Solanum lycopersicum: one gene and its partners. The main gene of each other region encodes a partner of the protein of the gene in region 2 in a complex. Links are inferred from orthologs where the notes say so. Each region holds a gene or a part of one and is shown on either strand. Other genes may lie near its edges.

Evidence for each region.
Region 1: CSN3 (region 2) and CSN4 share a complex: the UniProt entries of both Arabidopsis thaliana proteins name them as parts of the CSN complex. The link is inferred for Solanum lycopersicum from reciprocal best matches to the Arabidopsis thaliana genes COP13 and COP8.
Region 3: the proteins of CSN3 (region 2) and COP9 signalosome complex subunit 8 are in contact, whole or in part, in a cryo-EM structure (PDB 9IS6), measured with the Arabidopsis thaliana proteins. The link is inferred for Solanum lycopersicum from reciprocal best matches to the Arabidopsis thaliana genes COP13 and COP9. Residues at the interface, in NP_568296.1 of Arabidopsis thaliana: Asp121, Leu123, Arg124, Pro128, Ala157, Lys158, Gly193, Leu194, Lys195, Lys332, Glu335, Met336, Leu339, Gln340, Ile342, Gln343, Ala349, Leu350, Ile351, Asn352, Gln353, Lys354, Asp377, Ile380, Gln381, Ile384, Lys388; in NP_193147.1 of Arabidopsis thaliana: Met26, Leu27, Ala30, Ser31, Gly33, Ile34, Glu35, Tyr36, Asp56, Phe60, Arg64, His89, Tyr91, Leu125, Ser128, Ala129, Tyr130, Ser131, Thr132, Ile133, Thr134, Asp137, Phe141, Met166, Arg187, Glu190, Tyr191, His194.

Annotation. Positions count from the first base shown.
Region 1 is NC_090803.1:66,279,861-66,289,556, reverse strand, and holds CSN4 (COP9 signalosome complex subunit 4), read right to left. Parts: upstream 8,673-9,696; 5' UTR 8,564-8,672; coding exon 8,434-8,563; intron 7,352-8,433; coding exon 7,200-7,351; intron 6,253-7,199; coding exon 6,149-6,252; intron 6,048-6,148; coding exon 5,987-6,047; intron 4,400-5,986; coding exon 4,307-4,399; intron 4,215-4,306; coding exon 4,114-4,214; intron 3,758-4,113; coding exon 3,649-3,757; intron 2,858-3,648; coding exon 2,813-2,857; intron 2,620-2,812; coding exon 2,551-2,619; intron 2,457-2,550; coding exon 2,365-2,456; intron 2,261-2,364; coding exon 2,218-2,260; intron 1,333-2,217; coding exon 1,273-1,332; intron 882-1,272; coding exon 822-881; intron 516-821; coding exon 441-515; 3' UTR 109-440; downstream 1-108. UniProt on the Arabidopsis thaliana protein: Component of the COP9 signalosome complex (CSN), a complex involved in various cellular and developmental processes such as photomorphogenesis and auxin and jasmonate responses.
Region 2 is NC_090801.1:70,959,639-70,969,902, forward strand, and holds CSN3 (COP9 signalosome complex subunit 3), read right to left. Parts: upstream 6,347-10,264; 5' UTR 6,073-6,346; coding exon 5,876-6,072; intron 5,378-5,875; coding exon 5,262-5,377; intron 5,170-5,261; coding exon 4,923-5,169; intron 4,414-4,922; coding exon 4,356-4,413; intron 4,229-4,355; coding exon 4,139-4,228; intron 3,748-4,138; coding exon 3,682-3,747; intron 3,150-3,681; coding exon 3,060-3,149; intron 2,912-3,059; coding exon 2,753-2,911; intron 2,673-2,752; coding exon 2,551-2,672; intron 1,794-2,550; coding exon 1,721-1,793; intron 1,633-1,720; coding exon 1,564-1,632; 3' UTR 1,133-1,563; downstream 1-1,132. Other genes in the region: kelch repeat-containing protein At3g27220-like, read left to right, coding at 1-23, 192-398, 617-784; sister chromatid cohesion 1 protein 2, read right to left, coding at 7,004-7,111, 7,467-7,599, 7,740-7,761, 7,840-7,876, 8,052-8,506, 8,583-8,719, 8,860-8,971, 9,230-9,786 and 1 more. UniProt on the Arabidopsis thaliana protein: Component of the COP9 signalosome complex (CSN), a complex involved in various cellular and developmental processes such as photomorphogenesis and auxin and jasmonate responses.
Region 3 is NC_090800.1:89,065,081-89,075,344, reverse strand, and holds COP9 signalosome complex subunit 8, read right to left. Parts: upstream 5,550-10,264; 5' UTR 5,411-5,549; coding exon 5,327-5,410; intron 5,217-5,326; coding exon 5,137-5,216; intron 5,034-5,136; coding exon 4,852-5,033; intron 2,669-4,851; coding exon 2,561-2,668; intron 1,623-2,560; coding exon 1,483-1,622; 3' UTR 1,189-1,482; downstream 1-1,188. Other genes in the region: RPL3 (ribosomal protein L3), read left to right, coding at 9,671-9,755. UniProt on the Arabidopsis thaliana protein: Component of the COP9 signalosome complex (CSN), a complex involved in various cellular and developmental processes such as photomorphogenesis and auxin and jasmonate responses.

The DNA of each region.
Region 1 (9,696 bases), on a different chromosome or scaffold from region 2:
GTGTACCAGAACTTGTTAAAACTCTGGTAAATTAGAACACTGCCGTGGATGATACCGAAAGTTGCTTACACTACAGAAAATTAGATTACAAAAGTTACACCGAGTAATAATACTCCATGTCCGCTCATTTTTATAATCAGTCGGTGAAGGTAAAATCAGGAAATGGCACAAATTAATCAGTTATGATTTGAATAGAATACAATGCCTACAAGTACCCTATGAAAAGAGAAATGTAACAAAATTAACATTTATATCCATAATAAACCATTGAACTGGAGGAGAGGTGTGTCATGTACAATATAAATCTAACTTAAAGAGACGAGTTCCGAGCCAAGTTTTAAAACTGGTGAAAGTATAGAGTGGCGCCAGTCCAGTAAATGGTATGAGGAAGGAGTGCATCAGCATCGTACCAGATTCTTCAAAAATGACCACAAAATGAACTAGACAGGAATAGGGAGCCCCTTCTTTGCCATGCTATCAAGAACATCATTGAGAGCTTGACAAAGGCCCATGATCTGCAAAGATTAGCAATGTTGTCAACACTAGTATCATTTCAATAATAAAACCTTGAAAACAAGAAAGACGGAGCTTGGTATAAGGAAAGTCATTTTTCATGAAAAATGTTTTTTCGGTGTTGATGGCGAGCAGAAAATGTTATATAACATATATTAAAACTTGATCAAGTTATCAACAAATTAAAGAGTGCTCTGATGAATATGTTTAGATCTAGAGACATAATAATAGATTTCAAACGGAAGAGGTAGATTTCCATGAGAAAAGAAACATAAAGTAGATTCCAAGCATGTTAGAAACTAAATCACCTGTTGATCCCATTGTTGCAGCTCTTCAGTGTCATCCTCAAAATGTATGACGCCCTCAACCTGACAATAAAATCAACTTAAATTAATAGATGCTAAAACTACAATGGAACTCATTTTTTTGTCTCCAACCATATTTATCCAGTTTGATATTATTATTTGCATATATTGCTCGTTAAATACATCTCGTGTGATAGTCACTGATAATTACTATACAATGGGTTAAAAACAAATTTATCGTATGTGATAATATCTTCCACATCAAACTACAATCCAGGCATATTACTATCAGCATTACGGGTGGCATAGGGAATTCAAGTATGTATATATGGCATATATGGACACTCTGTACCTAAAGTTAGCCAGTGACAAGTCATGACCCAATATCATCTCCTCTTCTTTTCAAGGACAAAGATAGAAATGAGTAGATGGCATTATTAATTGAGAAATTTACCTGATCAATGGATCCCCGCATTCTATCTTCGAAAATCATTCTTGAAGCAATTTTCTCAGCCTTCATGACAATAATTGTTATAACAGAATAAGTTACAGATGAAAATGAAGCCGCACAGTCGTTAATTGATTTTGGTACCCAAAACAGCCATGGAAAGCAATAAGAGTGATGGCAACACTTTGACATGAAGGATTACGTTGGTTACATGGAGTTTTAAATTACTTATCAGACAAGCACAACAGTAAACTGATCTTAGTACATAAAAATGGAAATCAATATGCAAGAATGGGAGATGCATGTCCAAATACACTGAAGAAAACAGTATTTGACATGTAAGATTGTGTTGGTTGTGTGGTGTTTAAATTACTTGTCAGGCAAGACAACAGCAAACTGATCTTAGTACATTAAAAATGGAAATCAACAAGCGAGAATGGGAGAGGCATGTCCAAATACTGTGAAGCAGCATCTTTTTCTCAAAATCAGATTTCTACTAGAAGACCTCAAAGGCTGAGCAGCATAGGCTAAGAATCAACTTCAAAAATGCATTAAAATAATATCACCTTCTCTATCATCCTAATAGCGTTTACAGTTTAAACTTGACTTGTGGATTTACCCAGAAACAATGCATAAGTAGGATGATGGAAATATGCTTTTTGCAGCATAGCATGAGAGAACAATTTATCTGTTTCTTCATTTGATAATTGCTTTGAAAATTAAATGTCGCTCAATAAATGGTCCAGAGGGGACCACTAAGAATTACTGCAAATAGATTAACCAAGCCACGAACCGCCCTAAAAGGCTAAAACATCCTATTTTCGTATAGTTCCTACAACAGTCGCAACTGCTATGCATCAACTCGGGCTAGTGGGTTGACAACAAAACCCAAATAATTAGCCCAAGAACAGCAAAAATTAAGAAAAATAGCTTAGCAACATCATTAGGTACCTTTTGAGGAGGAATGCCCAACAAAGTGCCCAACTCATCAAAACTGTCACAGATTAATGAGGGGATTTAGCTTGAGATAATAGAAAAGCATGAGCTATGAAAAATCTAAATCACAAAAAACAAGGGAAAGATAAGCTTCCTTTCTACCTTATATTTGTATAAAGTTTGCTAGCACTCAAGAGATTGTGCTCAATCATAGCACGATCCAGAACTGTGAAGTTATCAGGCAAAAGTGCTTGCTGTAGAAACACAAAAAAATAAGATACACAGCGAATATCAGATCTTGTATTTTGACATTTTGAAAAAAAAGCAATACCCAAAAAAAGGGGGAACCTGATGTGGTTTCAACTCTTCTGCAAAAGCATCAATTTCAGGTTTTCTCAAGATTCTCTCTAGATATACCTGAATATTTCAAATTAAACAAAACTTAATTTTATTAAAAATAGTATATACGTAAAAAATCTGACACAACACTATATGCACATAAAAAATCCACACTCAAATGCAAAGAGGTTATAGCATACAGGCAACTCGGTACAAGTAAAGAGAGTGGAGACAGAACTATGCAAATTGTATGAAGCAGCAAGTGAAGTACCTTCTGCAAGATTGGGTAGATTTTCAATTTGGAGCAACGCTCATCCTGTTATCCAAAATAAGTAAAAAAGAAAAATTGTTATAGCAAAACTGAACAAATAGCACATAGGAGGGGATCAGTGTAGGCAGTCATTTGAGACCCATTAAAAAAATACAAATATGACTACATAGTGGCAGATCTCAACTGGAAGTTGCCGGAGAAAACTAATTAACCTCAATTTTTCAAAGGTTATGGTAACAGCAAAATTTTAGCAGGTATTAGACAACAGAATGACATGTCCACCAAATATAAAATCACCTATTTGTGGTTAGTTGTTACCATTTCCTTGGTGCAATGCACCTGCCCTTTCCCATGAGTGGTCTCACATTCTTGGCAAACGAGAGCAAATATCAAACCATTGAATTAGAAGTTCATACAGCTATTAGTTATTACAAACAGTGTTACTAAAGTGAGAAGCGCAAGAAAGATGCGAACTCTGGGGCCTTAAGGAAGAAGGCAATGCGTAATCTTCTTTGAATTTAGCAGCCCACGATTTCCAGAAAGGAATATATCTTACAACTGGGGGTCTACGCAGACCTTACTCGGTTACCATACCTCATAAGGATGGAAAGGATTATAGCTTATAACATCATAATTACAAATGACATGACTAACTTCAATAATTCAAGATACAGCCATGATAATATTAATCCCAATACTCAAATAAATAAAAATACCATTAAATCATTCATTCAACAACTCCACAGAAGATAACTTCCACAACAACCTGCCCATTAGTTGCACTCTTTGACAATAACAATCAAAACATTTAAAGCTCTAAGTCATTGCATCCTTACTTTGTACAGTGTGGCAAGTACACGAGATCGTTGAGGACCTGCTGCAGCCAAAATTGTGCACGTCACAGCAGCTGCCAGAGCTTGCTCTAAGGCAGCTTCATCGATTTCTCTGTAGCGTAAAGAATCATTAAGCTTCATGCTGTGCTCAGTTAAATAAAGGAGGCATAGTACCAAGAAAGATCACAGACATCAGGATGTGTATAACATTATTCAAGACAAAAGCTAAACCTTTGATCTTGGAACATAAGCATATTCTTAGTTTTCCTAAGCCGTAGACCTTATCAGTTCCGCTTGGATTGCAGATTATATTGCCCATATACACAGAACAAGAGTTAAAGTGTCCGCTACCTTTTCCTAAGAGCTTGCAAATATATAATACGCACTCACTAGCCAGACAATTTTAAATACTCAAAAATCGTTGAGAGAAGCATTATTTTAACATGATGTATTTTCTGGAAGACTTACTCGTCACCAATTTGTCGCTTCTCAATCTGAGAAATGTCATAGTAACGCAAGGCAGCTTCCAAGAATTTTCTCTTCAAATCCAAAATCCTAGCATAGCAAACCTGAAATAATCATTCAGGAAATAGTTGACATATTAGCCAGTGACAGTGACATGCTCAAAAATAAAAAATGCCCTAGATCATATGATAACAACCTTGTACTGCAAATTCAATACTTCATTCTTAATGTTGTTAACTTTAAAGGAAGCTTTATTTATAAACGCTTCTGCATTAACTGCATCATCATCCTGCCAAAGAAGGAATTGGAACACTGTTAGAAACTTAGAATGCCAAAGAGAACCAAAATAATGGAAGTAGACTGAACTTTTTCAGATCAATGCATATATATAAACAGCAGACAATAGCAGGGTGCATAGTAGCAGTACAGGAACCAAATCTACAACTCTAATTTTCCTTTTGATAGTAAGCAGAACAATACAATTGAAAGGAAACCAAGATACTTAGAATGTACATAGCACACTAGTTAACAAGTCACATTAGAACCGTAAAAGGTTTACTCATCAAGAAGAAAGACAACATCGGTACAACTTGCAGAATAAATGCCACATAGAAAGGAGCTCACATGCTACATATTCATTTGTTACCTTTTTCTTTAAAAAAATCAGTGCATACTCATTTGTTACCTACTAACGTTCCTGAAAGTATTTACCGATTCAGAACTAGACCAAATTTCTAACCGGGGAACACCAACAAACTTAACATTGACGGATCCTCAATAGGAAACCCAAGCCAGGGGGAATCGGCAGGGTGGTGTGCTTCGAAAAATAAATGGTGATTGGAGAGAATATCTATCACCACAAATACTCTTAACTAAATTGCTAGATCTTATGCAGAAAATTCAAGTTATCGAGCGCTAAGCAGGGTTGTGAACCTCCTCGCGAAGGAAGGAGCTAGGGAAAACTCCTTTTTAAATTGTGGTTTCCATGTCAACTTGTACGCACCTCGACTAATTTCACGGGATACCTGCAACATCCCACCAACATAGGTACTGGTAATGCAATCCACCAAGGCTTGGACAAAATGGAAAAGAATCACCTAGCTTTTTTGTCTCCGCTGGGAATTGAACCTAAGGCCTCACAGTTCTCAACCCTCTTTATTGACCACTAGGCTACACCCTTAGGTGCAGCTAAGAAAAAACTCTTTTTTGTAGAAAAAACTTTTGGTGGTTCCTTAGGTGTTTGAAGCAGTTTGGGCAAACATACTAGAAACTACTTTTGATCGGTAAAGAAAATTGATGATAAAGTTGTACATACCTATATAATATAGAAATAAAAAAGAAAGAACGAAAGATTTTTCCTTTATCTAATGTGTTGTCTCATGTAGTAATTATCTTTTTCAATTGGGAGATATGGTTGTGTGGACTATAGTTTACTCATGAAGATTCCATAACTACTACAAAAATGGAAAGTTCAACACAATTAGAATTTCTTTTAATTGGAAGCAGCTACTAATTCATGATATGGCATGTATAGAATCAAAACTTCATTCTAGATTCTATGAGAATTTTTAAGAAAGCCTTTTGTATAATATTCCCGTAATCAATACGCTTGCACTACAACAACGCCCTATAGCTCAAACTAGCAAGTTATTAATTGTTTTCTTATAAATATCAACAATTAGTTAACCAAACTAAAAAAATTGATAGGTCGCTCCAGCACATATATTGATGAATTGATTTCGCCTCTTCCTCTTTAGAGCAGATCAATTGTCAGGCAAGTTGAAAGGTGCACTACCAAACCAAACAAGGATCGTTAACTTGGATATGTTTACTTGGCATTAGAAGTATAGAAAGAAAAGAAAAAGAAAAATCCAACCTCCAGATAGAGACGAGCAATTTGGACACATTTTGAAATTCTGAATGTATCATCAACGAATCTGCAGAAGAAGCAGTGCGAAGATAGAAATTTCAGCTTCCAAAGATAAGTTAAGGGACACAGCAGCAGGCAAGCAAAGATAAGTAGAAGTGTAACACAGACCTCATTGCAGAGTCTAAATCGATGCCACTAAGCATCTGAGCTGCTTTTGACCATTGTTGCTCAGACTCATATAATTCTGCAAGTTTTTCCCGAATGATCAACACCTGAAAATATGGGATTTTGTTTTAGAAATGGGCAGTAAAAACATAAAAGATCAAAAGAACCTGTATGTGGAGATCTCTTGATGACAACAGACAATATGCTGAGTTCCAATTTTGACCTTCATTTGTACCATTTTCTCAAAACTAAAATACTCAAGACACACATCAAATTTTAAGATAACTATGATTTCCGGAAAAACTTTTTAATCCCAAGATAAACAAATAATTCTGTGACTTTGGCGCTAGCCCACTCTCACAAAATTCAGTTCTTAAAATCACTTCCATCGAAAAGGAATCAAAGGTGTCAATGCAATAGTTCCATCCAACACCAACTCAAAAAACACACTTCATAATAAACAACCCCATGGTCCCAATGTGGGTTGTGGCCCGTGTATTGAGTTCCTGGTACTACACTCAAATTCTTTTCTAGCCTATTATTTTAACTGGTTTTAATAAAAATAGAGATGCTAACTTTAATGGTCAATTAGAAAGAGATTACTTTCTGAAAGACAATTATTTGGAAATTTGCCATCCTTTTTTCTGATAAGTACTTCCCATCCCATAATTAGTAAAAGAACGTGATTTCAATCGTTAAAACAGGCCTTCTCTTTAGGTGGCAGAGATATTGTCATGCTGATTCAATAATTCTCTTTCTTCATACCATGTTCCTCTCTGTATTTTTTCTTGATAGAGCATTCTTGCTGTTCTCTTATGAAGTTTTAAGAAATGAAATTACAAACATCCAAATGCTACACCCTTACAAATACATATGCACCACCTGATGCAACAGACAAAGCAAAATAAAGACAAACTGATGCTAGTGACATTCTGAAGCACCAAATTTTAGAGATATATAAGGCATTAATGTAAGTCCAAGTATCGTTCACTATGGGCTGCAAAGGAGTTGTCAAGAATCTGACAATTAACAAAATAGAAATATCAAAGCATACTTGTTCTTCAAAGGACACCACACGAGGCTGTATCTGGTTGAGAGTATAGTGTGCTACTTCCTTTTGAACATCAGGTTCCAATCTATCGAATTCCTGGGCAAATGTCTGCAATAGCTGTCTAGATACCACCAAGGGCACGTCATCCGATAGCACTGCATAATGTACACACTCAATCAAACAACAGCGGCTCAACCCCAAATTAGTTAGAATCTGACTATAAATATTCTATTTAGATTTCAGCTGAGAATATACAACGTGAATATAAAAATTACAGGAAAAATTAAGATTAGACAGCTGGATGGTGATTGCACTGCATAGTCATACACAATCTCAATCAAACAGTGGCTCAATCGCAAACCAACTGGAATCTGACTGCATAAATTGTCTATACATATTATTTCAGCTAGACGTATACAACATGAAAAATAAAACAAGTTGCAAAATTATGATTAGATAGTAACTACACTGCATAATCGTACAGTCTTAATCAAACAGCGGCTCAATCTCAAACCAGTTAGTATCTGACTATATAAATCATCTATATCTATTTCAACCGAGAAATCTACAACATAAACATAAAATTAACAGAAAATTGAGATGAAATAGTTGCTGCAATGCATAAATCACACACAATCTCAATCAAACAGCGGCTCAATCCCAAACTAGTAAGAATATGAGAATATATAAATCTTCTATATCTATTTCAGCTGAGAGACATAAAACATGAATGCAAAATAAATAGCAAAATTATGATGAGATAGTAACTGAACTGCATAGTCGTAAATAAACTTAAATCAAAATAACGGCTCAATCTCAAACCAGTTAGAATCTAACTATATATATCTTCTATATCTATTCCAGCTGAGAAATATACAACATGAAGATAAATTAACAGCAAAATTATAATGAGGCAGTAACTGCACTGCATAACCAAACACATTCTCAACCAACCAATGGCTCAATCCCAAACCAGATAGAATATGACTATATAAATATTCTAACATCTGTTTCAACTGAGAAATATAAAACATGAACATAAATTAACAGCAAAACTGTGATGAGATTATAACTGGCGCGACATAATTGTACACAATCTCAATCAAACAACCTCTCAATCTCAAACCGGTTACAATCTGACTATATGAATCTTCGAACATCTATTTCAGCTGAGAATTATAGAACATGAACAAAAAATTAACAGCGAAATTATGATGAAACAACGAGAAAAACTTACTGTGATCGATGAATTGCTTGGCTTGTTGGATATCGCTTGATGCAAGAACGGTGGACAGAATGTGCTTGTACTGTTCGATTTTCTGGCGTTGGTCGCTGATCGCAGAGGCACTAGCGAACGCACTCTCCATTGCGATTTAGGGTTTATCTCTGAGCTAATCTTCTCGAATACGCAATTTGGAGTGTCTCGTCGAGTTCTTTTTCGAAGCGTTAATGGAGCTTATGAACCAAAATTTTGGCATATAAATAGGGATTTGAAAGTCGATTTATAATCTGTTGCCCGCTGTGGTATATGGGCTCGGACACAACTTCGAACTAATTTTATTTTTTTAAAAAGAAAAAGTGATAAAATTATTATTTCGGTTCAAATTTATGTAGGATAATTTTCACATGTAGCATATATAAAATTTATATTTGTATGTTATAACAAAGTTCATATAATTGCGCTTTGTAACAAATATATTTAATAGCAAACATATATATGTATAATTTGCTATACATATACAATTGAAGCGAATTGTATAAAACGAAGTGTATAAAATGAGAAAGAAAAAGAGACTTGGGCATAAAATTGTATAAAATGAAATGTATAAAATGAATTATATAATTATAAGTGTATAAGACGATTATATACAATTTGAATTTGTATAAAATGAGAAAGAGAGAATGACAAAAGAGACTTGGGCAGGGAATATACAATTGAATCAAATTGTATAAAACGAGAAGGAGAGAGACAAAAGAGACTTGGGCGGAAGAGTACTTTTATTGTATAATTATAAGTGTATATGACAAAAATATATGTATTTACATGTGTATATACAATTTTCTCTCGATTTATATGATTAGAAACACAACTTATACAATTCTATTGTATAAAGCGAGAGAGGCAAGCGATAGGGAGAGAGAGAGAGAGAGTGACGAGCGAAAATATGAGGGAGAATGAGACTGACAAACAGTTTGCTATGAAACACAAATAAATCAAACAATAGCTATTATATTTATTTTACGGACAAGGGCCTAAAATACCCTTAAAGTATTCAAAATGGTACAAAATTACCCTTCATCCACCTATTGGCTCCAAAATGCCCTTTTCATCCAGCTATTGGCTCCAAAATACCCTTGTCATCATCTTTGGGTTCAAAATTGACCACTTTTTTTAATTGTTTTAAAATTTAACTCTTTAAATATTTTTAAAAATACTTGGCGTTCAACTATTGATTATAATTATAATTTTTTAATATAATTTATTAACCAACCCACTACT
Region 2 (10,264 bases):
TTAAATGCTCGCGAAGGTTCGAGGTATATGTTGCTATAGTTTTTATCTAGGTTCAGTAATCTGATTATTAAAGCTCAGGTATTCTTGTTTCAATCTGGTCAACTAAACTCGAGGTTGTGTCTTCCTTATAATGGTCTTGTCTCAAAGTTTTTTTTGGGAAGTTACTATAATTTGTATGTTTGTGACTTCAGGTGGTTTTTGGAGATGTTTATATGCTAGATGAAAGTATGAAATGGAAACAGTTGCCTTCTATGCCAAAACCAGTTTCGCACATAGAATGTTCTTGGGTTATTGTAAATAATTCTATTGTTATTGTTGGAGGCACAACAGAGAAGCATCCCGTGACCAAAAGGATGATTTTAGTTGGAGAGGTGTTCCAGTTCAACCTAAATACACTGGTATTTTACCTCCTTTTCTTTGACTCCAATCAATCATCAATGTTGGAAATATCTCTGTCTTAATCTACATAATATACTTTTTGATGACGTTTCAGTTAAGCTTAAACGTTAAGTTACTTCTCTGTTTCATTGCCTTCCATACAAGTCACTGCATAACTTATTTTCTTTTCAACAGTCTTGACTTCTGAGTTTTTTTCTTCTTTTAACAATTTAAACAGACATGGTCTGCCATTGGAAAGATGCCATATCGGGCAAAGACAACACAGGCGGGATTCTGGGATGGATGGTTGTATTTCACCTCTGGACAGCGGGATAGAGGACCAGATAATCCACAGCCCAGGAAAGTAGTAGGAGATACATGGAGAACTAAGTTAAGATTACTATGAATGCTACCATGTCGCTTTTCCAATGTTATTGAATGTCAAGTTAATTTGGCGTTTGCAAAGAAAAATGTTGCTCATACATTAGTACTCTTCATTTTTTAAAATGTATTATTTAGGCAGTTGTATTAGCACATTTGGCGACCTGTCCCCATCTGACTTTCCTTAAAAGCTTGTCAAGATGGGTCTAGAGATCCAGTGGAAGGAAAAGACGATAAACAAATACTCGTATAGGGAAGCTTCATCAGTAAATCTAATTACTGAAAATTACACATCTTGTGTTGCTTTTAGCATGTTCAGTTCTACACCTACTAAAGATTTTTATCCTCGAAATTATGGGGCAATACAACGCTGTTGACCATGCAAAGCATCTTATTTTACTATTATAAGTAAGTACAAAGAAGGGTATCCATTTTTGTAATAACTAAAAACTGGGAGATCTCTAACCATTCGAGGAACTTGCTACTACAAAACAAATTAACTAAAACACCAATGTCCACTAAAGAAGATGAACATTATCATCCTCCTAGCCTCTAACTACAACTAAACAGTTCCCTTGCTAGATAGTAAAATAAAACTAGAGCAAGCAGTTCAACCTGCCCACACAAAACGAAAAGCAGAAGGGCAAATAAAACAAACATGATACCACTGATTGAACCAGGAGTTAAATACACCTATTTCCTTAGCCATTTCTTGAGGTCAATGGAATAAAGTTTGCTTATATTTCAAATGAACATATCAGCATCATTTGCCATATTTACTCAGAAAACTGAACTTTGCTAGTCTCAGATAGTGAATTTCTGAGGAACACCGTCAAAATCATCAAAATCAAATCTCTGTCTCTCCCTACCAACCTGCATAGCAAGTAAACACATTAAATTAGTGAAAAATACAGTTGTTATATTAAGCAGTTAGCGAAAGAGGACTTTGACATAGTTTTACCTTTCCTAGGTACATAGGATCACATGACATAAGTTCATCCATAGACGTCAACTTTTTCGACACTGCCATCAATCTGCAATAGAAAAACATACATCATTGTAGTTTTTAGAACATATGTACATAGGATCACATGACATAAGTTTCATTCACATATTGTAAAATTCTTTAGAACATATGTACACAGAGAGATAGAGATGAAAAGATTAAAGTAAATCTAATGGAGAACCCTACCCTTTAGCCTTACCCTACTATCAATAAGGGCTCGTTTGGTGTGAGGGATAAGCATAAATAGTCCTGGGATAAAAAATTAGTCCAAGGATAAAATTTAAATGTGTTGTTTGAAATAACTTTTACCACCATTTATAGCATAGTGATGGGATAAGTTATCCTATATACATGGTAGGATAAGTTATATCCCTCCCAGGATATCCTGGGATAACTAGTTTCCAACCAAATAACCCCCAAGCGATGCAAAGTAAAATTTCCAACCTATTTATGTACAACATTACTAAATTTTAATTTCACCCTCCCTCACTCGCTAGTATTTTAGAAACATCTCCCTTATGTAGGTACAATTGGTGCAGATATCCAAATTGCTGGATGGAAATTGGCATTCTTTTGCGCATATCATGACATCCATCATTAGTACCATGTGCATAAGTTCAAATTCATTCCAACTTTATTTGGAGTTTGAGATAACATTTAAATTCTTAAAAAGCCAATCAGTAGCTATAGCCTATAGCCACCACATTGGACAGAAAAATTACCGTCTAATTACAAGTAAAATGTAGAATATCCATATCCAATGACCGAAGTAACAGAAGTCTTACCTCTTAATTGATGAATCGATATGTTCAATCATTCCACACGTTTTATACTGCTCAGGATCCTCCAGAAATCTAACCATACCATCCTTCTGATTGATTGTTGCATATATCTCACCATCTTCAATCTATAACCAAAAGTGAAACATCAGCATTTCAAGTTTCAAAGTTGAAGGCTTACACAATCCAAGATCAAAAAGCAGGATACCATCTGAAGCACATGCATTTCTGCCTGTTTGGGGTCTCTTAGCTGGACAGTGTTAGCAATATCTTGGAGGGAGAGAGTTAGGTACGTTTGAGTTAACCGCTGAATATTGCGCTTATACATAGAAGACACTACTTGCATCACTAATCCAAGATTATTATCCTGAAAATATAATGAAAAGATTGTTACAACTTCCACAAAAGATGGACTAACATGGGAGTTTGGGAGTTGAGAACTTTGCACCCATGCTCTTTCATCTTAGCTGCTAGAAGATCAGGAAATGTACCAGTTTGACCACAAGAAAACTTACGCTTTCAAACTTCTCCTTGTTTGTTTGAACAAATGTTTCAAGTTCAGAGATTCTTCCAGTCCCATAACTGTTTGATAACTCCAGGTAGGGCTGCTCAAAAAGAAATAATAAGTAGTTTATGTTATATTCCACACATAAGGACCACACATGACAGAGAATTATCCTTGATGAGGCGTCTCTTCAGTCTCCTCCCAAATTGGATTCATTTTATATTAGAAAATATTGTTGGGATTTCAGAAGCTTCCAGCTGGTCACCTTATTTCTTCGCTGAGTACACTAAACAGATTTTGAGGACTCTAAACAGTGACTTTTCCGATACACGAAAATGCGTTCTTTCTTTCACTTCTATTAGATACTGATATATTTCTTGTTTCATTATCATTTATGTAGTTTCATGCCTAGCCTGCTAAGTGCTAATACAAAATATGCAATGCTTATACTTTGAAACAACACTTGAATCAGTACAAGATTTCTAACATCAACATTGTAACGCCAACTGTGCATACTTAACTGAGCTTGCATTGTCATCAAATCATTTGAGGGAAAATATTCCTTTCAATTTGCTTTGGGTGGAACAGTCGGTGCTACTTGGAATCAATGTTTGCACAGTTGAAATAATTACCTGAGAGAAATTCTTCAAGTTCCTTTGAGCCACGGAAGAAGTGTACTTGGGAAAACTGGTAGAGAACTGCCATGATAAGCAAACCTCAATTTAATCAGGAGAACGAAAATCAGCAAGAATAAACATCGGAAACATGACCTATCATATTCTTTTTTACTTTGTGCATATTTGTTGTTGTTTTGGGTGAGGGGGGGAGGGGGGTGCTTACATCTCTACTCAAAGTGCATATTACAAGCCAAAATCATTTTAAAAAGTTGACACATTGTGGCTCAAACTAAACGAGTCCATCGGTGATAATATCATACATAATGTAAAATAAGAAGGTTATACGGCAGTGCAAGCTCAAGCCCCAGAAAAGACACATAGATCTCACAAACTGTTGTCCAACAGAGACGTCACAAGAATATTGACTAAATATTATCACCAAAAGTATGTAAAAAATGGTGGCAAAACACACCTGCCCAAGATGAATCAGTGAAACCAGAATGTACTTTTTGTAAGCTTCAACTGCTATTGCATTTAGAGTAGACATAGGTGCAGTCACAACCTAGAAGCATAACAGATAGAATCAGCACAAACGGACAGATATAGATAATATATAGTAACTTGCAAATAGGGAATAACAAAACCAAATACCAATAAAGGAAACATGGAATGAGAACACAGTAACATACATTGTGCAAGAGTTCCAATGCTTTGCGGAACTGCTTTTGTCCAATGCAAACCATTCCCCTGTTATTATGTTCAAATTATAAGACATGTCAACAAGTATAAGACACAAATCCAGAAAAATCCAGAAAGCGATAGAAAGATTATATCAGTGACTTTTTTAATTAAGAAAATATTGAATTACTCAATCTCATTCTAAATTGATACATCACTTGTGATTCACATTGCTGTTAAGAACTTTGTCTTTAGGTTGGAGAACTAAACAATATCAAAGGTAAGAAAGGCAGACGTAGATAATTGTATACCAATACCATGGGTTTTTGAACAAAATTAATTCTTTCACCAGATAACTATACAAGCAAATACAAATATTCATAGGCGAGTAAAGTTCCTCTTTCCTATAAAAATTAGAAAACACACTGATAGGAAAGCATGATTTAATGAATTGCCATAAAAAATATTCCAATTTTTTTTTTTAAAAGTCACAGAGAAATTTAAACAAGGAACGGAACAAGGGAACGACACCAACACAACTGAAATAACTTCTAAGCAGAAAGTCTGAAACAACTAACCCGTAGTAACAATAGAGAAAAAACTCCCGTGGCTGATCAATCTCATATATGTCATCCTCCAGCACAGAGAAGCCAGTTTTGTAGCACTTTGCTAATAGACAAAGAAGAAGAAAATCGGCATGCAATGTTGTTAATTGCTCAGGGGAGGATTGCAGTTTACGAATAGCAGTCAGCATTGGAGCCACACCACGAATCGGAGTTTCCAGTCCGAAAACATGATCCTTGAACTTTTTACAAACAGAAATGACTGCAACCACAAATTGAAGACGTGCCTCAATATAAGTTAGACCAGAAACAAGAATATTCACAAAAGCTATTCCAGAAACCAGAGAAAATTACACTTATTGGGCGCCAACTGGATTTGCTCTGTAGAACATGAATTGATAAATCTAGCGACAGAAACAAGCAGTTCACTAACATGCTCCTTTGCAACTGGGAATGAGATGCATGCCTCCCTGTTAGTTAACAAACACAATTATATGATTAATACACACTAGACAGAGTACAAAAGACAACGCGCACTTGTTACACAAATACTGGTCTTTAATTCAGTGGATGGTTCAATTCTGCATTATTTTTATAGATTATGTAATCAATCAATCAACTATGCCTCAATCCTACATGTATTGGTGTTGACCATAACAATCCTCTTTGTCAATTAGCTTTTCTTTTTTCATAATCACCGTGGTGTCCACCAAGCTAATTCCACGCGTACCAATACCAGGTGTCCAACAAAGTTAGGGCAGATGGGAAAAAAACACCTGCATTGGGATTTTAACATGAAACCTCATCGTCCATAGCCCACGATGACTAAGCCACAGCCCAGGGTGTTTTAATCAATATATCTATATATATAACCTAACAATGGCTAATTTAAACAAATAATAATCTTCAGAATAGAAACCCTAGGTTTAGGTTATAAGAATAAGAGATGAGGATGAAAAGGAACTTACAGAATATAGAGAAAACCTAGGGAGTGAATAGAAGGATCGAGTTCAGCGAGAGAAGAAAGCAAGCGAGAGAAGTCGGAATGGAGTAGCTCTTCCGATTGTTTGAGAAAGTTGTGAAGCTGAGTTATGTCTGATGAATTGCTCGATAGCCCTTGGATTTGAGCAACCACTGATTCCATTGAATTCATGTTCAGATTCATCTCTCTCGCCCAATCAACACACTTATGAGTTTCAGCAGATTCACGTCTAAGAGACGAGGCTTCAACTGGACTGGGTAATAAATAAAAAGAAATAATTGGGACTTCTTTTATGTCCAGTTTTATTTCTCTTATATAAATTAAAAATAAAGAGCGATTGGGTTTTCATCTATTTTTATTAAATTTAAATTTATATAAAGAGATTACAAAAACTTCTTTTTAAAAAAGAAATTATTAAACATTTTAAAAATACCTAAAAATTATTTTAATTTTTTTTCTTCCATTACATATAAAATTGGAGGAATAAATTATTTCGAATTTGACAATCAAATAATACATCAAAATTTTTATGCATAAACTAATTTTTATTCTATGAGTACTTAAAGACACGAAAGACCTCTTTGTGTCCTACTCCTACCATGTCTTTTTTTTTTTTTTTTTTCGCGATAAAAGCTTTTTAAAACTCACAAATACAAATGTAACATGATATTTATACGACATAAGTCACAACTATTATTGCTCATTGTTGATTAAAACGCCTATGAATTGACAACATTGTAGAGCAATATTTTTCTATAACCACTTCCAGATATATATTGGGTATACAATTTTCTCATAAAAAGCCTTTTCGTGTATTTGATGTTAAAGAAAATTGGAGTAATAGCTTTTCACAAGTGGTTAAATTGGGCACCAGTAGTAGTTATAAACCAAAACATTGACAATAAATTCAACTAATTCCTGATAGAAGACATAATAGTTAACAATAACCTAACTTGCCTTCATGTTAAGGAGGAAGAGCAATAGCTAGCAAAGAAAAGCGCTCTTCCACTCATATATACTACCAAACATATATAAAAGCATATATGTCATGTGATTGTTTCCTCTGGCTACTATTTACCAACACAGCTCTCTTTGTGAACATATATATATAGATTCAGGACTCAGCTTCAAAGGTCTGCTTTAGTCTTGGGAGTTTTTGCAAAAGAATGTCACTGTAGGCATCATCCTGCCGCACATCTATACAGCCTCCTGATTTCAGAACCTGCGTGGAAAATAAGCATTGTAAATAATTCACAATGTATATATCTTACGTTGGATTATATTTACGTAAAACCAGAGACAAATGCGTAAAATAAATTCATGTGTCCGTCCATTATAACCAATGTTTATAGGCCAAGAAACACGGGGGCATTTAACAACAATAGAACCAAAGAAATTCCTTTTTAAGCACCACCATCTAGAGCACATCCTGGATGCTTGACAGAAGGGAAACAAGGGACAAAAACTCCTGCTGAAAGCGCTACTCAAAATATGTATCAAATAATTCCGTTCATCCACAAGTTCAATTTGGCAGACCTAAAATTACCAGAAAGATGAAAGGAACCTAAAAACAATACCAGTATCTCGTAGAACACCCTTGCACTGTCTCCCTTTGTTTTCCCCTTCATAAGCAAGGACAAGTTGACAACTTCTACCTCCTCCTTCCCCTTCCGAGCAAGGAAGTTTTCAAACAGGAATTTTGCGACCTTTCTGCATGCAAAAAGCCAAAAATTGGATCACCGCCAAAAACAGAAGAAATGAATTTTCACAAATTTCTGAGAGTCATAACCAAAAGATGCCACAGACAAGGGGATGCAAGAATTGAAACTGAGATCCCTTATTCATCATACCCTGTTCTCAGGGAATATTTGCCTGCAACCAAGACAACAACTTATGAGAATGGCAACTCAATTGAAATAATATTGCACCACTAAAACAGTACTTCCTTACATTTTCCTGAGGTATCCCCTTCAAATGAATTGATCTCCTGAGGAAAGAGCGCATTTGTTGCAGTTAGCACTTATTAGCATTGCAATAACAGATACAGACAATAGAACTTTTTTATTTCCAAAAAAAGTTAATAATCATCACAATACACTTCAGTAGCTGAAAGCAATTTCCTTTACTTATGTAAGCAATCAGACTAGTCAATCGTGTCATACCTCGTCCATTAAATTCATTTCAAATTCTACATCCTCCATGGAAAGTGCTTCTTTCTCTGTGATTTCAGCTGAACTTGCTGGTTCTATGTGTGATTTAGAAGTTCCTTGCGTATCATGAAATCTCAGCGAACTTGAGCCAGTGACAGGTGTTGTAGGAGCAATAGGTGTTTGTTCTCCATCATATCTGAGAGTATTAGGAGATTCAGGTACACCCACATGCAGAGATGCCGCAGGAGCATCAGGTATTTGTTCTCCACATCTGAGGGTACCAGGAGATTCAGGTAAATACTCATGCATAGATGTAGCAGAAGCAATAGGTATTTGTTCCCCAGATCTGAGTTTATAAGGAGAGTCTGGCATGTCCTCACGCAGAGGAATTTCTACTGTTTCTGCAGGCCCATGCTGTGCTGATCTAATTTTGCTAATTGCTGATGCAATATCAATCGAAAGACTACCTGCATTGCCACAGTTGGTTAGTTAAATTACCTAAAACACGGAAATGGCAGTGGCAGTGTTTGAACCTTTACTCACAAGGAATAAGAGGCTCCTCAAAACTCTGAGGAAGTGAGGAAATTTTATGTACTTTCCATGCAAAATAACTGGAATGAGGGGATTTCCTTCTCTTGCAAACTAAGTCATTTGCATCGCCAATCCAGTGCTTGAATACCCTGCATGTTAGGGTTGTGTCACATCAATCTCTTCTAACTATGCGATGAACTTAACTGCACTAACTAAAGAAGGTTACAACAAGAAGATCCTGCATACGGATATCTTAGTGCAATAGGTTGAATAAAGAAAAGGATCGTACTCATTTGGGATCACAATAGATTCATCAAATATGCACTTCCGCTTCCTTGAAATCCGCCTACGCTCCTTCTTAGCTGGGGTGCGAATAGATATAAAATCCGGTGATGTAGATCCTGAATTAGAAGAAAGTGATGTTGGTTAAAACAACAAGCATTTTAGAACATGATTTGCTTGGGCATCTGAAGGGACAAATTAGATTGTGTCCAACAAGCAAGCAAAAAGGGTGAGAAGGGGCACACATATTCCTTATTTTTTCTAGGTGAAGGGGAAAAAGAGGGGTGGCAGGTGCAGCTTATTCCATTTCCGGTCGGATTCAGCTGTTCAACTAAAAGATATGTGAAAGAACAAGGTAAACCAGATAAAGGAATCACCTGCGATCTTGGTCTCTGGGGATACATCAATACAGAGGGACACTGATCGATCAACTTTAGTCCGATCCTTCCCTTTCCTCGAGGAAGATGCTTCAACATTTTTCTTTTGCTCAAAACCACAGTTTTCCACAAGAGATGATTCACCAAGGACTGCTGGTTGTTCATCATCTACATTCACTCCTACATCAGGGTGTTTTAAGAGCTCACGAGTATGCTGATGAATTTTCTCAGATTGTTGATCGGTGTTGATTTCCAATGTAGCTTCTGTGATAATCATCGGTTCTGCGTGCTTTTCCAAAGATGACCTCTTTTCATAAAGATGCTCCTCGTTTACTAAGTTCCCAGCACTCGACTCTTTCATTTGCTCATCACCAGTCTGGTGATCAGCTTTCCTATCAAAGATCATCTGAATTTCAATGTCCCCAAAGGTCATTGGTTCAAAGCGCTCTTCCAAGGAGAATCTAGTCTCATTAAGGTTCCACATAGCTTCCACGTGGCTTGACCCAACTGATGGGTTGAAGTCCAAATCTTTGTCCATCAGGTGAGGTGAATATATGCTATAACATGAAATGTTAAATTCTTAGCACTAGCACTAGATCTAATTAAAGAGGTGCGAGATCAGTGCATACTCTCTAACTGGAGTGTGATTTGTGGACTTCAACTCTGAATGAGAGACACCTTCCTCATACTGAAAAAAGCAGCTTATATGTCATGTATGCAAGAATATCCACAGAAAACAAAGCTTGAAGTTTTTCATGCAGCAGTACCAGATTGAGAGATAGAGACGGGAACACCCCAACCCCAACACCCACACAAAATGAAAGTAGTAGTTATGCGAAATTCCAACCAACCCATGCCATCATCAGGAAAAAAACAAATGAAGGTGACTGCTTACGGCTCTAAGCTAATTCTTATTCAAGTATCATCAGAAACTTGAACCAGTTTGATCCATCAAATAACTTCTTCAAATTAAACACAGCACCACTAACACTGTCCAGTACTTGTTCAAAGAAAAGCAGTTACGTGAATTCGTGA
Region 3 (10,264 bases), on a different chromosome or scaffold from region 2:
GTTCAACCGATTTCAATACCTTTAGTAGGAAATATAGCTATATATATAGAAATTAGTACTATTTGAATATATTAAAAAAATAATATTGAACCTATAATTTTTAAAGTTTAACAGATTCATTGATAAAAAGAACCTAAAGATTAAATCGATCAAATTCATATCTCATGTCCATTATTTCGTAATAGTTTGCACCCCTCTTTTTGAAATCCTGCATACGCCTATGGTTCTGTTTGTGGTTTAGTAGACTTAGAAAACATGTACCTAAGCGACTTCTTACCTTTCGTGTTTTCTGCAGATTTTTCTGGCATATGACGACTCCTAATGGAGAAAAGAATTTGTTTACTTCTTGATGTACTTAGTAAGATGAGATACTTTTGTGTTTGCGGACAAGTATCTTATCGAAGAAGTGGAGATATAATTGGTGTAGACTGTCACAGCTGAAGCTTGATCAAACACTTGGGGGAACCTACAGTTCGATTCACTAACGTTTTCTATCTATCACCTTTTGGCCCTTCATGCAGGACCAATTTCTAAACCATCCTGTTCTTTTGACATTTTCTTCCTGCCTAGCTAGTTTATGTTTGCAGGACCAGGTGAAGTACCAACTAAGCTTCCCTCCGCTCTTAAATGCCTTAAACGTCTTTACCTATCTGAACTAGTCGAGGTTGCATGGGCTCTTTGCGCACACTTTCTTATTTTCTTACTCACTAGAGCTTCAGTTTTAAGTTCATAGTGACGTACCTGGTGATCTTTCTGGTGAATTGCTAGATTGGGTTCCTTGGGACACTGTTAATGAAATTCTTGCAAGCTTCCCAGATGTAACGTATAATTACCTCCGGGCAGTTAACGTTACAGGTGTAATGGGACAGTTTTATTGGCCAGTGCTGCTGAGGATGGTGATCGACCCCAATGTAGGAGGAGATGATTCACTCGACGATAACAAAATTTCAGCGGGCATCACCGTAAGCAGAACTTATATATAAAATGTGAGTGCGTATCCTGGTTACAAGCCTGCTTGATGTTCACACCATTATTTTTGGCCAAAATGTTTTGAAAGCTTCAGTGTATATAGAAACACATGTTTTTGCCGTATTATGTAATGCTGACTCGGTGAGAAAACTCAGTTTGGGAACTGGATGGGTGTTTTGGCTAGTGTATCTATATGCATAACATACTTGTTCAAAGGAATGAATGGAACCTGAAGCTCTTCCATGCAAAATGTTCAAAATACATCCACCAGAGCAGGGAACGGAATGGAGAATCTTAATAGAAAAAATGAAAATTAAAATAAAAGAAGATCGTTCAACATTGTTTAATATCTACTAATGCCCCTTAACAAAGAAATTTTCTCAAAAACTGTACTCTTCTCGACTTTCATGGTAGTAAATCCATGCTTAGATCTGTTGCTATAAAATTTAGCAAGCTAATTTCTTCAACCATTTTGAGTAAGAAAAGCACCTAATGGCAGAGTCAGCACACAGTTTAGTGCTCCAGATGGAAGACATATTCAGTCAAGCGCTGTAATTTACTGGGGTCTAACTTCTGTTCTGTTAGAACTGCTTGTTTCTTCACAGTAAGCATTTGAGATGCCGAATCCAAAGCCCAACCCTGTTGCAGCACATCTGAAAGGGAGACGACAAACTTATTGTTACCAAACAGTGAAAACTTATGAACATATTGTGGTTGGGATGCAGTGATAAATGGATATGCATTTGAAAGAATTCACTGTATGTGCTTCTTAACATTTGTATGTGAACCTATTTTAATTAGTTAACCGCTTCAAACAAATCGATCTGATATTAGAATTATCTTACATACCCTTTCAAACTCAATAATCACCTTCAATCCACCAAAGAGATTGCTATTAAAGTTGAGCTACATGAAAGTTGGAAGTACTATTAATTCACTTCATTGCCGGAAAATCGAAGACAATGTTACTTTTGATAAGATTAGCTTTTTCCAAATTACAGTTTAGACCAGTGTATGACTCCAAAACTAATCAGTTCACTTGTTCTCTATCAGAAAGTTCAAATTGATCATTAATGGAAGTGCCAACTGCAAGATTAGATAGCCTCATTAGGATAATTAAGATTAATGGAAAGTTGAATTTGGAAAAATTAGGACTCTTTTTTTTTCATAAGTGGAAAAATTAGGACAATTTATTAGCCTAATTGCTGAATTGATGGGCATCCCAGATGTATCGGTTAATCCTATCAGAGGAACTAAAGGAGATGTTAAGAAACTCCCCCCGCCAGGGGTGTGAAATTGATAAAGGAACAACTACCAACACATCAAAGAGCAGAGTTTGAGATATGAGAGAGCCTTTTCAGAAGGTTTAGAAAGTAACATTTTAGCATGACTTTTAAAGGTGAAAGGTGAAAGGATACCTGACCAATCAAGTCCAAATTATAGTCTGCTAGACAATGAAGAGAATGGAGACGATTCTCCTTGCAGACACAACAAGGATTCCTTATGACAGACACTAGTTCATTTAGTCCTCTTATGTACACAAAAAAGAACTTTACGACTACAAGCATGCACGCTGTAGATAAAAACTTACAGTTTGTAGCATCATTTTCATTCATTCCCAGGAAGTGAGCTGAGTCTTGTGTGCTAATGGTTGAATAAGCGGAAAGAAGGAGCTCGAACATCCTTTTTCTGTATAATTCTGCAGAAGGATGAAAATGATATGAAAATCAAATATACAGCAAAATAAGTACCCACATGTATATCTATGCGTCCTGTATAGAAAAACCACAAAGAAAACAATGGGGCACAAGAACTTCTTCAAGTTTATGTTTACATTATATGGCTCCCTTCACAGATTTGTGTAAAAGCTTTTCTTAAAAAATTGCTAGCAACTATTCGGACATTTCCCCAGCAATGTGGTCTAATATTTAAACAAATAACCAACTTAAATTAAGGATATATGTAACCACCACCCCCTACAATAATGTGCTAACAATCATTTTATTTTCTTACAAATACAGCCCCAATTAATATGGCAGAAGAAAATAATAATTTGGTGAAGTATAGTTTCACCTGACGTCACAAAAATATAATGCTGCATGAATTACAAAACACAAAAATAGTACTAAACTAATTTACTTCTAACCACAACAGAAGATCCTAGAGTCGGAACTAAGCATGCTGAAAATTCTGTTGCGCTCCTCTCCATCAGCATGGTCTGAAAACAACTTCATTTATGCTGCTTTGTCTACCACAGGTCCATAACCAATCCTCCAGACAGAACATTTCAACATAGATTGAGTAATCACTTAATCTTTTTGGTATATGTCTACATCAGTTTATCACTTAATCCTTGACCTCTCACCAAAATGTAGTAGTATAGTTTTGTTTTTTATATAGGTGGGATGAAAGCAATATGATGGAATTAGTATTACTGTGTGTCTTATTAGTAGAAAGTTACATGCCAAATTATCCTTTATATGTGGAAAGATATTTTTCCTCAATAGCTATCTTCCCAAAGTCAAGTATATAATAAATTCAATGAATCTGGAGAGTTACCCAATAATTAAAACAACCCAAGACTCCAACTAATTCACCATCAGTAAATGGTGTACAAAGAAAGAGTATACAGTCCTTGTTTTAGTAAATAAAACGCCTTGTCAAAGTTGCGCATGCGGAAAACAAAGAACCAATTAAGCTCGTCCAACTCATATAAGGAGTAATTGACAAAAAAAGAACACACAGCAAAATCAACAACGAAGAAAAATAGGATGGGGAGACATAATAGGAGCATTATCCACAATTATCTAGGTCAATAAGTACATACATATCAAGATTCAAGCATGGAGATGATACTGCAACCAACAATCCAACAATCATGACATCAACCAGGAACGAAATTGACACGTTGTGATTGGGAAAGGCATCACCATTATGATCTCCTTTCAGGGGATCACGCCAGTAAATACATCCTAAGTAAACCCATACTAAATAATTGCTTATACTGACTATTTCATACCAAACAGCCAATGGCCTTGCTAACAAAACATATCATTTTCAAATTTTTTGATGTTGTACCAAGATGTATTGACCTGTAGAGAACAATTCTACCAGCCCACTTAAGATGATTACCTGAAAGTGGGCACTAGACTTCAAGATAAGATCAGAGAACATCATTGTAGTCTCAAGCCATTATCAAACTCCAATAGCTAATCTTTGACTGCAGCCCAACTATGTGATTTGTGCAGATCCATAGATTCTACTAATTCACAACAATGGCAATTTTGTTGTTAATCCTTTACTTGATCCACATTCTATCTTAACCCAGAAGAGAGGCTAGACTCCTTTGGCAAAGTGGCACTTCTTATAAGTCACAATTCTTAGTTGTAGCAGCAAAACCTTCTATGCTTTTGACAGGCACAGAAAAGAATTTTAATTCCTTCCAAATGCCAACTATAGTATAAATTTACTAGATAGAACCTTCGAAATATAATCTCAACACTTTTATTTTTTGACAATGGTAAAAAATCTCAACACTCACTTTAACTTCTCCCTTTTTATTTCAAAACGAGAGGTGACACTCCTCTTGCACCACTATAACTTAGAGATGCTATGTCTTAGTTGTTCACATATTCAACGTTTTACCTACTCAATGGGTTCTTTCATCTTCATCATTCAGAACCCTATAATCCTATGGATTGGACAAGCAAAAACAAATCTTGGGCTGTTGCTAGGACTTATACAGTACAGTATGTAAAGCTTCTAACCAGAACTGATTAGACGACTAGAATTAAATGAAGCCAATCAAATTTTAAACAAAAAAGGATGATCAACTAAGTCTCTACCGTTTGTTCTATGGAGAATAAAGATAAACAAACTTGCCTGCAAAGGAAGCCACAAAGGGCTGAATCTCAGGACTCCAGCTGAATCCACGAATAGCCTCATGTACACCGACATAGTCCCTTGTCCAAAGTTTCTGCCCAATCCTCCAAACAGCCACCACCTCTGGTCGGGCTTCTTTTACAGCTGCAGGTATCTTCTTCCACAGAAATCGCGCACTATTACTGCAAAAGTAAAACAATAACAATGTAATTCTAAATCAATTCCCTAACATCATCCAACTTAAAACCCTAAAATTCCAAAGTAAAGTTGCAAATAAGAGATTACATGTCATTGCTGTAAATATGACCTAGAAGGTGAATCGCGTACGGCCATTCATCTTGAAATTCGATTCCCTCAGCGGCACCCTATGAATACAAATAAAGCGAATAGAAACATTAGGTTTCACTCTTAAATCGACTGAAAGAACTACACTAGAAAGACGATAAATAAAGAGAAAAAAATAGGGAGAAATTGCCTGGAGCATGAGATCATCACAAATATCAGCAATCTTGTCGTAGAAGCTGGACGCCAAGGCTTCGTTGAGTTGAGAAGTATCCATTGAAGCGCACTGTTTTTTTCGTCGTCGATTCTCCTTCTACTCCGTCACCGACTCCCCGCTGGGTGATCGGAATTACAATGTATTAAATAGTTTCGGCTTTTGGTTATTGGGCCTTTGGGCTACTTAAAGGTGATTTTCATATCCGGATACTAAATAACAAAAATACTAACATTTTTCACGACACATGTTTCTTGTTTCTTGTTTACGTGTAGAGAAAAAACATAAAGTTATTACTGAAGTTCGTTTTATATTTTTATAAAGATAATTTATCTTTGAAAGTGTTATATCACTCTATAAAAAATTTTAATATCTTTGTAAATGAATCATTTTGACTCATTTCCTTGTCTTGATTACTGCGCGTGATGCTCATTTTTTTTGATCCGTTTAGCCCAATCTAATTTTTTTATAAAGTAGAAAAATGTTTTTTTTCCTTGGTTATTAGTTAGCTTTCCAATTCTTTCAGATTTTCTTGTTTTTCTTTCAAGGAACTCGAGAACAAGAGGAAAGACAGAGCTCAGGCAGCATATGAGAGAGGAGAAAGCAGTTGGAAAAACTTAGAGTTAAGGCAAAGAAAGCTGCAGAGGAGAAGCTTGGACCTCAACTCGCCATCATTTCTCCAATCAAGTATTTTGAATTGGTACGTCATTTTTTCGAAATACAATTTTGTTGAAGATTGATAAATAATTTTAATGTCGGCCTTTTTTTAATTATATTGTCCTCCTGAGTAGTGTATTTTCAGTTAAACATTTGAGAGGACTCTCAAACTTTTATTCTTCATTGTTTTTAGTAATGAAATTGAATCTGATGCTTTTAGTGATACACCCAAAAAAACCATTTTATTGAAAATTTAAAGAGAAAGAATTCCTACATTATTGCTTTAGGAGAAGATTATGTATTTGTCAAAAAGAGTGTATCTGATCTTGCTTTAGAGAAAAAAAAATGAAATCATAAAGAGTGGCTATCAATGGCTATTTTGAGTTTAAATTTGGGAAAGATAAGGTAAACAAATTAATAATTAATAATAAAGAAATAAAGCGACATGTGTTACTTTTAAGCTGGTTAATGACAGTGAAAGCATTGTAGCACAGATTTATGTGCGTGGTCACAACCCAAACAAGGAAATGGGTCAAAATGGCTCATTTACAAAGATATTAAAAAGTTTTGTTGGGAGATAGGACACTTTCAAAGTTCAAGGGTCTTTATAAAAATACGTGACAAATTCAGTGACAACTTTATGTCTTTTCTCCATGATTGTATTATGATTTCCTACGTAGAAGGCACTATAAATTAATATATATATTAAAATGTTAATATTGCACGAGCCTATATTGTAAATCACATACCTCGTATGCCAGGAGGGATAATATGTGTTTCTTTTAAATAACACACAAAAACTTACACACATATCTTGTCATCATCCCATATTATCTATCAAATTTCTTTATCTTCACAAATTATGAAAAAAATCATAACAAATTATAACAAGTTTTTAAACATCATAACAAATTATGAAAAAAATATAATTTAATTTATATCGTATAATTTAGGTTCTACGGATTTTTATAGTGGGTGAGATAAAAGTATTAAAATTTATATTGAATAAATTAGTAAAACATCATATTTAAGAACAAAAACTAAAATTGACACCAAAATAAGGACAACACTACATGATATTGAAGTATATAGTTGGGACATTTACTTTGTAAAATGTTTGACTAACGTATTTTTATTTGGACATTACAGTTTAACTTTATAATTAATTTTAGTATATTAGATTAAGAAACACGAGATGAAACAAATTTTGGTTCAATAATAAAGTAAAATTCAGTATGAGTATACTATTTTCTAAATATAAATTTATGTTGGGTATGTTTTTTCAAATATAAATGGTTTAAAAGTGGATAAGAGTAATGATATCTAATTATTTTAGTGATAGAACTTAAAAGTGACAAGTTACAACTGATGTACATGATTTAAAGGTTAGTAGGATAATAATAATATCAATATCAAAGAAATGGTAATAAATATTTAATAATTGATATTTTTGTTATAGAATATAAATTTGTGCATCAATTTTTATATTTGAAAAATACAAAATTATGATATGAAATCTTCAAATCAAGGTTTTTAGAGAATTTCAATATTCTTCTCATGATTTCCAAATATTAATTTCATATCTTGATTTCAAATCAAGGAATGAAATTATATGTCCAAAACACCAAATTATTGTTAGTCTACCATACAACGAAAAAGTAAAGAAAAAGAAATAATTTTGTTGAAATAACATTTACGTCATTAATAAAGCTTGATTATTTATATTATTCTCACCGGTTACTGGAGTAGGTTGAATACCACGAAGTTTCGAGTTCAAATCTTAAATAATAATTTTTTGCCCTTCCATTTATAATGGAGTTACAATGATACTTGTTGTTGGTAGAAGATAACAAATATTCAATAATTGGTTGTAGACCACGATTATAAAAAATAATAGTAATGAATATAATACTTACTTTGATATGAATCTAGGTTATTACATTATGGCGTTGTATAGTAATAGATATTAGTTGTTTAGATTTGAGAAAATGGTCAAATTCCCCCTTAAGCTATGATCGGATTCTCAACTATATACTTATCCTTCACGGGAGTTCTATCACCCCTAAACTGTTTAAAACTAAAATTATTACCACCCGACATGCTTACATGACAAAGTGAGTGTATTGCACTCTCCTTGAGAGAGTGAAGATAAAAATCAACATTATAATCAACAAAATTCAAATAAGAAGATCAAAAGACACAAATCTATAAATTTTGATCTTTTAACCTTCAACAAAGTTTTTACATGACGAATCAATAAGGAAAAAAAATGTTTTTAATAAATTTTTCACCTGTCAAACGCGTGCATTTCACTTTATCAACATAAATGTGATTGTAACTTTTTAGGGGTGTAATTATTTTTATTTTTAACAGCTCAAGGTGGTGAGAGAATGCCGGTGAAATTCAAATGTGTAGTTGAAAATTTAAGTATAGATTAAGGGAGCATTTGATCATTTTATCTTTAAATTTAGGGATAATGCCCAAGTACCCCCTCAACCTATGCCTGAAATCTCAGAGACACACTTATACTATACTAAGGTCCTATTACCCCCCTTAACTTATTTTATTAATAATTTTTTACCCCTTTTTAGCTTACGTGGCACTATCTTGTGGGTCCAACGATGGTTGACTTTTTTTTCCGAACTAGTGCCACGTAGGCTAAAAAGGGGTAGAAAATTACATATAAAATAATTTCAGGGGGTAATAGGACCTTAGTATAGTATAAGTGTGTCTCTGGGATTTCGGACATAGGTTGAGGGGGTACTTGGGTATTTTCCCTTAAATTTAAGCATTTGATCATTTTATCTTTAAATTTAGAAGCAGTTTTAGCCATTAAAGAATTTGTAATTTGCAAAAAAAAATAAATAATTGTTATCAAAGTGAAAATATATCGGAATTTGATTTGTTTGTTCGTGAATATTAATTGAAATTGATTTTAAACTTTTATTAATAATCGAAGAAACAAAAGTCACATTTTTTATGATAAAACATAATTTTCGATATTCAATTCTTCTAAAAAGCAACAATTATTTATAGTTGAACATCAAAAAAAATTCGTATATTATTACATAAAAATAAAAAAATATATTATTTACATATTGGATCTGTGCAGACGCAAACTCTGATATTGAGTATTTTGCTGTTACGTTAGAAAGTATATAAGTATTTGTTGTATCTTAATTTATGTAACACGTTTTGTTTATCTAGAGTCAAACAATTTTTTCTCAAATTTTTTAAAATGAAATAAAGTCATTGGAGCTGGGCCGGGAAAACCCACCTAAAAGAAACTGGGCCAATAATCCCTAAATCCAGCCCATTCAACTTCGCTACTTATATAAACCTAAATGTTTCACTAGGGTTTTTCACTTTGAGCGAGTCCCCCATAGTTCCTCAGTAGCCGTCCCTTGCAGGTATTTTCTCCCTTAATCTTCCTGTTTTTATGCATGCTCATTTCTTTGTATCAACTAACAAGTACGTAAATCTGTAATGGTTTTTTCAAATTTTCAATAATCCATACTCTTTTTCAGAATGAATTTGTTTTACATTGTAGAAAATCACAGCTGTTTGACTGTTTTTAGTTGCGTTTATTACTTATTTGTGTGTGTTTACTGGTGTTGTGAGCTAATTGATATGTGTTCATTGGTTACAGGTTGAAGGAGGAGAAGGATGTCTCACAGGAAGTTTGAGCACCCAAGACACGGTTCTTTGGGATTTCTCCCCAGGAAGCGTGCTGCCAGACACAGGGGAAAGGGTATGTCTACATTTCCTTTTCGTATTGTGAATGGATTTTTGTTATAAAATATCTATTTTGGCATTGACAAATTATTTACTGAAAGATTTACTTATGTTTTGATGATGATGTGAATATTGCAATAAGTTAATCATCCTTGATAGGTTAAAAGTATAATAGTGTCATACATGTTCCATTTGAGCATTAGTTATCCTTCATTAGTTCTCAGAATTAATAAAATGATTCTTTTGCAACCATATGTTACTAAAGTTATTGTTCAATGTCCTTTAAATCATATCTTATATCTTGGTAGAATTATAGAAAATAGTTGTATTTTGATGTATTAATGAGCATCCGTTGTTCATCATTATTCTGTTTGTAGATTAGTTATCCTTGATTAATTATCAAGATAAGTAATATGAATTTTTGCAACCAAATGCTAACAACAATATCATTGTATTTACTGTTTTTTTTTTTCAAAAATGCTGAAAGTTTGTAACTTTCGATTTATTAATGAGGTACACTATTTT